2 linked regions of the Callithrix jacchus genome follow. The protein of the gene in region 1 purifies or fractionates together with the protein of each later gene. This does not show direct contact. Links are inferred from orthologs where the notes say so. Each region holds a gene or a part of one and is shown on either strand. Other genes may lie near its edges.

Region 1 (3,500 bases):
GTTCTTGGTTCTTCTTTAAGGTCCACGGTTACCCTTTCCCACAGCTGCTGCCACTTCTCAGGGACTTGATTTAATTTGTGTTCCAGTTTTTCAATTTCCTGCCAAGAAATTAAAAGTTTTTTGATAGATCAGTATCTCATGGAAATCAGGATGTGCCCCAAAGCCACACTGCTTCTGTACTAGGCCCAGATGAGCAGCATGGTCAGAGGGCAGTTGAGGAAAGTGGTGGACCTGGGCCTCAGAGGTCTCCCAGCCAGGAATAGTGGTGACAGCTCTAGCTGGTATGCCACACTGTGGCAAAGATAGTTTATTAGGACCTACAACTAGGCCTTTTGGTACAGGATAGCTTACATACTAGGATGTGAAATATATATCTCAGACATCTGCACTGTTGGGCAGCCCATGGGAAATCTGATAGCCAAAGCAAGAGGTCAAGCACTGGGCCTGTGGCCCAGCCCTAAAAGCTGAGGTAGATGAGAAGTCTGTCCTTGACAGGAGGAACCCCTCAACTCTGATGATTCAAACCAGATGTGGAAAGAATGAACCAAGAAATGCCCAAGGAAACAGATATCCCTTCTGACAGGGATGCTGGAGATCAGAGCAGCTGCCTCTGTGACAGTATGACACTGAAGTATACTCTTCCTGGTCAGGAAACCAGAGGGGAAAGACTCTTCAGGAACTGTCTGGCCCCTATCAAGGCTCAAAGCTACTCCTCAGGCTGGCTACTGCCAAGATGGGTTTGTTCTGGAACACTCCTTGCAGAAGATGGTTGGTAGCACTCCCATCAGGCCACTGAAACTACCCACACTTTTGACTAGAGGAAGTAAAGCACCCACAAAAGCCACAGCCAAGGCCTGACTAAGGCTCTTCGGGCAACTAAAACAGCTGGGAAGCTGCCGGAAAGAGTAAATTGCTCCATTTGCTTGATTGCTTCCTTGTAATGCTGGAAAATCACTTTTATTGAGACTCTTTTCCAGTAGTGAAGCCTGGTCCCCCACAATGACGGGGAGCAAATCTGTTTTCTTCATACCGGGAGGGTGCTACCATAACCTTAGCCCAAAGTAAGGAAAGCCATGTTCTGAAGTTTATAAACCATTCTTAGCTTAGCCTGGTTTCTTTGGCCTTATGCCTCTGGTGCCCATGGTGCCCCTAGGTGTGTATCTACAGTTGACTTACACTGAAAAGGCTGGTGAAAGCATCGGGCTGAGTACAGCTCACATTATCGTAGCATGGCCACACTGTTCTCCTCTGGCTCCGGGGCCCAGCTTCTCCAGCCAGGTCAGTGTCTTCGGAGGGGAAGTGCTTGGGGGTTAGCATCATCCAGTCATAGGAAGGGCCTGTGGACAGGGTCTCTTCTATGTAGTAATCCCACTTCTTAAGGCTGGAGACATTTACACTGGGCTTCAGGGCCTGTTAAAGAAAACAGAAATACAGTTTCATCTTGAACCCAAAGCTCACTGTCAGGCGAGCCCCTAACATCTGTAGAGTCCAGGGGAGGAAGAGTGTGAATGGAGGTTCAAATCCATATGTCTAACTATTTAAAAGTCATACATCAAAATAAATTATTAAAACAATTTTCAATCCATTAGGAAATATAACTTCCTAATGACCCAGAAGGTCAAGTTCAATAGAGGATTCTTGGATTCCTTAGAACTTTATATTAGCAAGTGGTGGCACTAGGTTAGCTGGCCCCAGGTCCCAGTCCTTGGCCTAACTCTTCTTCTCCCACCCGTAACTTATATTCTAAGAGTCTTACATGAATGTTTATGTATACCCCAGCCCATAAAGTCAAACTCTGTCCACTATCAAACCTGCCACTTTTTACCATTCTTTGGGCCTTGAGGTCCATGCACTGACTTAGTAGACCGACTTGGAGAAGTAGTCTGGTGGGCAGCCTGAATTTGGGCAAAAATTCTGAAGTACCCAGAACATGGTTTAGATGAAAGAGGGGCATCTAGGCATGTACCATTGGTTTCTTGTACTCCTCACTTCATGAGGATGCAGCTAGAAGAAGGCCAGACTAGGGTTCTATGATTGGGGCCTGGGAGAGGGGACTCTCTTGGCCCTAAGTAATGGTGGAACTGCTTATCGGACCAGTCTGTTCCATTCCGGAGCATGTGTTATGTAGATGTGCATGGTGGGGAGATATGTTATCCTTCTTGGGCTCGGCTCCAAACATTTCTGCTTCCTACAGGGGTCCTTCCACGGCGGCTTTGGTACTGATGGACTTAAACAAACTTTTTCTAAGGTATTTTAAGGTTTTTCAGCTTAGAACACCTGTTGATATTTCAAATTTTGTTAGTTCCTTTTTTTTTTTTTTTTTTTTTTTGAGGTGGAGTTTTCACTCTTGTCGCCCAGGCTGGAGTGCAATGGCATGATACTGGCTTACTGCAACCTCCACCTCCTGGGTTCAAGCAATTCTCTGACCTCAGCCTCCCTAGTAGCTGGGATTACAAGCATTTGCCACCACACCCAACTAATTTTTATATTTTTAGTAGAGACAGGGTTTCACCACATTAGCCAGGCTAATCTTGAGCTCCTGACCTTGTGATCTACCTGCCTCAGCCTCCCAAAGTGCTGGGATTACAGGTGTGAGTCACCACGCTCAGCCAAATTTTGTTAGTTCTTTCTTCCTGGGGAAAGTTGCCTTGCTTTGATTCTCTAGAAGTTTTCCCTTCTAGGTTTTGGGGGCCAGTTCCTCATTTTTGTGGCATTATCACAACCCAAACGTATAGTGTCTCAAACTTTGAAATAGCTTTTTCAAAGGTATTAAACAGCTTATATATACTAAGCTAAGAAAGGTATTAAACAGCTTATATATACTAAGCTAAGAAAAACTCAACACAAAATTTCAGAAAATGAAACATAAATGATTTCTTACTCTACCTCTATTTCCAGTGGTGAATATAAATAATTAAAGAAAATGGGACTCCTCTTGTGCATCCTGTCAATGCACTCCCAAATACAGATTCCTTTTTTGGCATGCTTTTCTCCTTTATCATCAAATAAAGTTCCTGTAAATTAAAAAAAATCCAACAAAACAAAATTAAATAAATTAACACTTTGCCTAAACAAGTATGATGCATGTAGCAGATAAAAAATTGGAAATTGTTTTCATGGCTCTAAAAATAGCAACATTTGTGTGAAAACCTTAGAAAATAACTGCAAAGCTAAAGACGTAATGAATTTCATAGCTATATAGGGAAACAAATCCAGATGGAGGAAGCATCTGATAAAGTTTGCCTCAGCAGCGAGCAGTCCATCATGACTCTTCCAACCCTCATCCTGCATCTCTATCTAGATTCAAAGGAGTCCATGCAGGAGGCATTCTACAGCTGTCAAGAGAAAATGGAAGGACTTCAGAGTTGATTTGATGAAACTCAGTAAAAAACATAATTTTATGTTTCTGTTTTAAGTTGTTGGCCATTTATCAGGAAGCCATTTAGAGTGTTCTCTTGTTTAGCAGTTTATATATACCACAGATCATGGTCACTGACACT
Region 2 (4,092 bases), on another chromosome or scaffold:
TAAGTATCTTGAAAATCCACCCATCCCTATTCCTAGTCCTATTCCCTTTTCCAGACTCCTTTCATTCTTCTGTGTACTCCACCTGCCTCATGAATTTAAGCCTCATCTATAAGCCCATGACTCCCCAGTCTGAATCTCCAGCCCAAACAACCCTGAACTCCAGGCTCAGACAACCCTGAACTCCAGGCTCAGACACAGCAACTATATCTTTTTTGTTTGTTTGTTTGAGACAGAGTCTCACTCTGTCGCCAGGATGGAGTGCAGTGATGCGATCTCGGCTCACTGCAACCTCCACCTCCTGGGTTCAGGCAATTCTCCTGCCTCAGCCTCCTGAGTAGCTGGGACTACAGGTGCATGCCACCATGCCCAGCTAATTTTTGTATTTTTAGTAGAAACGGGGTTTCACCATGTTGGCCAGGATGGTCTCAATCTCTTGACTTCATGATCCACGTACCTCAGCCTCCCAAAGTGCTGGGATTACAGGCGTGAGCCACCGCACCCGGCCAACCAACTATATCTTTGACATCTATTCTGGGACATATAATTGGCATCTCATAATTGATATGTCCAGAGCAAAGAGCCTGCTATTTCCTAACCCTGCTCCACCTTAGAAAGACTTCTCTATCTCAGCAACACAATTTTCCCACAAGCTAAAACCCTGGAATTCTCCCAGATTCTTCTCTCTTACCAAACAACCAATCTTCAGCAAACCCCATAGGCTCTACCCTGCAGGTCTTCAAATTACATCTAGAATCTGACCACTCCTCCCCTCCTCCGCTCTTCTCCGGGCTGAGCCACCATTTCACTTGGCTTACTCCAATAGCCTCCTACTGCCAGTCTCTGCTTCCACTCCTTCCCCTGACACTATATTGTCCACATAGCACCATGGAGAGCCTGCTGAAATCTACAACAGATTATGTCACTCCCCTGCACAAGGTCCCCTGTGGCTCCTCATGGCCTCTGAGGCGCTCCACCATCTGGCTCTGTGACTTCTCTAACATCATCCCTTACTTGTCTCTCCCTGGCTCCCTCCCTGCTAGTGACACTTAGTCTCCTTGCTGATCTAGGAATACTTGGTTCACACTCACCTCAGGGGCTTTGCACAAGCCTCTGACTAGAATGTTATCACCCCCAGGTATCTGTATGGCTGGATCCCTCGCCTCTTTGGGGACATTAATCAAATGTCACCTTTCTGGGGCTTTTCCTGATCACCAAAATCTCTGAAGGAAACCAGAAGATGAGGAATATTTGGGGGTGACACATTCTGGTCTCCTTTGGCTCCTTAAAAGATTTTGATGCACACTCACCCTGAGTACTTCCACGTTTGCCTCTATCACACATCTCATTCGATTTCTACTATTGGTTGGTTTGTATTCTCCACTACGTGGTAAGCCCAGCAAAAGCCACGTTGTACTATTCTGTGAATCACCCAGAACTCGTACATCGTTGAATATTTGCAGATGAGTGAAGTCCTCACCATTTCAAGTGCTCTTAGCTGTGACTGGTTTTCAGTGATACTAACCACTTGGGTGATTAATTTGTTAAAATATAATTATATTGAGGTAGAAACTAAAGTGAAGGGAATGTTTCTTGTTTCTGTGCTTTTGGAAACTCCCAAAAGTTTGGCACAATGGTATGACTAAGACAGGCAGGAATGGGCATCTGAAACTGACAGAGCTACATTACAACAGCCATGCTACCTGAGTGCACTCTGCTGTCAGAGAAATGGCCAAGATGTGCGACACTGGATGTTCCGGGTTACGGGATAGGCCACCCCTTGTCATCGGAGGAAGGGTGCCCCTCCCAGTCAGGCATGGTCACTTTATACTTCTGATTTCTCTTAGTTCTGCAGCTGCCTCAAAAGCAGTAGGCTTGCTTGTGTGTTCATGAAAACAATAAACTGGTTCCTTCAAAATGTGAAGAACTGAAAGTAAAAGGTTCTGTTTTCTTCCCTCCTGAGCAGTTTGGAAGTTTTCCATCCCAGATTTTTGCCTCGATCTGCAACAGCTCCCACGCCCGCGGGTCCCATCTCCCTGTCCCCACTCCCAACCCCAGCATCAAAGACTTTAAGCAGCCACAGTAGAATTGGGGTCTTAAAACCACACGAGTCAAGGTGACGCTAAAAGAGGAGAGCCCCGGTGGGATCTCCCTCCCACGAGGGTCGGTGGACCGGGCAGGGACAGCCAAGGGGTCACCAAGGGTAGCAGGTGGCGGCGCGGGAAGTGGTTTGATAGCCGCGAAGCCCCTCCCAGGGTTCCAGGAGCTGGGACTAGGGCGGCGGAAGTAAGCCTGGTGCGCGGCCGCAGCAGGTCCGAGGGCGGCAGCCCCCAATGGGGTGCAGGGGTTTCCGGGGAGGGAGGGGCCGGAGGGGATGAAGAGGGTTCGTCCACCCCGCCTCGGCCAGGCCCTACGCGGCGCGCGGGGAGGGAGAGGGCGGGCCTCGCGCGGGGCCCTCGGCAGTCGGGGCGCGAGAGGCCGGGTCGGCCTGGGCTCCGCTTACCTGTCCAGGGTCTCCACGCTGGGCTGCCGGGAACCAGCGGTGGCGCCCCCCGCGGCCCGAGGAGGCCTCCTACCGCCCGCCGGCCCGGGGTTGGGGCCCCCGCCGCCCTCGCAGCCCGCTGCTGCCACTGCCGCCGCCACTGCCGCGGCCGCCGCCGGCCTGTCCATGGCGCGCCGAGTCCCGCCGCCGTAGGGAAGCCGCCGTCGGGACAGGAGCGGCGTCCGGGAAGGTTCCGCCGCGCGCCTCCTGCCGCCCGCTCTACCGCCCGCCCGCTTCAGGCGGCCGCCGCCATTAGCTGTCACCTGGCGGCCCCGCGTTACCCACAAGGCCCCGCGCGCGGGGGTCGGGGGCGGGAGCGGGAGCGGGGGCGGGGAGGGCGACGCTGGGGGCCAGCGCCGGGAACCCCCACCTGGGCACTCGCCCGCGTAGCCTGGGGATGGGGGGCTAGGACCTCTTGCTCTGGCGACCTGGGCGCGTTCCGAGCCACTGGGGTTCAGAATCCCCAAACGGATTATGCATAGCGTGCTTCGCTCTGTAGTTAAACCCGGTTGACGGCAGAGACGTGGGGTGTAATAAGAAGTTTGGAGACATTCAAGGTTTAAAAATTATTTCCCCCCTCAGTTGTCCTTCCCAGAAAAGGTATAGGACAGCTCAGGCTCCCTCTTGAAGCACGAGCAATTCCGGGCATTTTAGCAATTCCTCCCCACCCCATTCTTCCCTCCACTCTCCCCTTCCACACCCCCCTACAAACCCACCTCCTTGCCATCTGTAGAGCAACCAAGTGTTCTGATGCCGCCCTCGGAACTTCCGCCCATGGTTTATGTTAAGAGTAACATTTAACTACTGTTGATTAAAAATCACTGCTATGAAAACCAAGCCAATTATCTTGCTGAGGCATTTAGGACATTTACTTTCTGGGCTAGATTTATTTTCTTGCTCATTTTGTTTGGGTGCGAATCATCCTCTCTCACGTCACTCCTGATTAAGCTGGGAGTGGATGTGTGGCTCATGATTAAGCCCCTTTGCCTGTGATTGCTCTGGGTGTAGACGGGAGTCCTGTGACCCAGACCTGGCAAAGGAGCTATAAAGGGAACAATTCGCCCCCTCTTAAAAGGCAGACCTGCAGACAGAGAGTTCCTCATGCCCATCCCAAACTCATCTTGCCCTACCAGCTTAATGACGTCAAACTTAACTTTGAGGATATGATGGCCGAAGCCCCTACAGCCATCTTATACCCAAGAGGAGGTGAGCCTGGGGTAAGACGATAACAAGGTGTAGAGGGCTGGGAAGAAGGAAATGAAGATCCCCAGACAATAATAACTCCCATCTTACACTGGAGAATCATCTTCTGCAGGCTGCTGGCTTTCAATTATTAAATAAAATGGTTAACCCACTGTTACAGACTGAATGTTTTCATCCCCCTGAAGTCCATATGTTGAAGCCCTAACTCCCTATGTGATGGTATTTGGAGATGGTATTGAGAGACAATCAGGTCATGAGGGCCAAGCTCTAGTCTGACGGAACTGGTGCTTTATAGGAGGGGTCACCTGTGATCTCATGCACTGACATGCACACACTTAGGAAAGGCCATC

Evidence for each region.
Region 2: the proteins of SBF2 (region 1) and MTMR1 purify together in Homo sapiens (affinity purification with mass spectrometry; 3 studies listed by BioGRID and IntAct, with this or other methods). This does not show direct contact. The link is inferred for Callithrix jacchus from reciprocal best matches to the Homo sapiens genes SBF2 and MTMR1.

What each region holds. Positions count from the first base shown.
Region 1 is NC_133511.1:75,669,918-75,673,417, forward strand, and holds part of SBF2 (myotubularin-related protein 13), read right to left. Parts: intron 3,015-3,500; coding exon 2,887-3,014; intron 1,411-2,886; coding exon 1,177-1,410; intron 99-1,176; coding exon 1-98. UniProt on the Homo sapiens protein: Guanine nucleotide exchange factor (GEF) which activates RAB21 and possibly RAB28. Promotes the exchange of GDP to GTP, converting inactive GDP-bound Rab proteins into their active GTP-bound form.
Region 2 is NC_133524.1:147,043,119-147,047,210, reverse strand, and holds the start of MTMR1 (phosphatidylinositol-3-phosphate phosphatase MTMR1), read right to left. Parts: upstream 2,801-4,092; 5' UTR 2,668-2,800; coding exon 2,501-2,667; intron 1-2,500. UniProt on the Homo sapiens protein: Lipid phosphatase that specifically dephosphorylates the D-3 position of phosphatidylinositol 3-phosphate, generating phosphatidylinositol. Could also dephosphorylate phosphatidylinositol 3,5-bisphosphate to produce phosphatidylinositol 5-phosphate.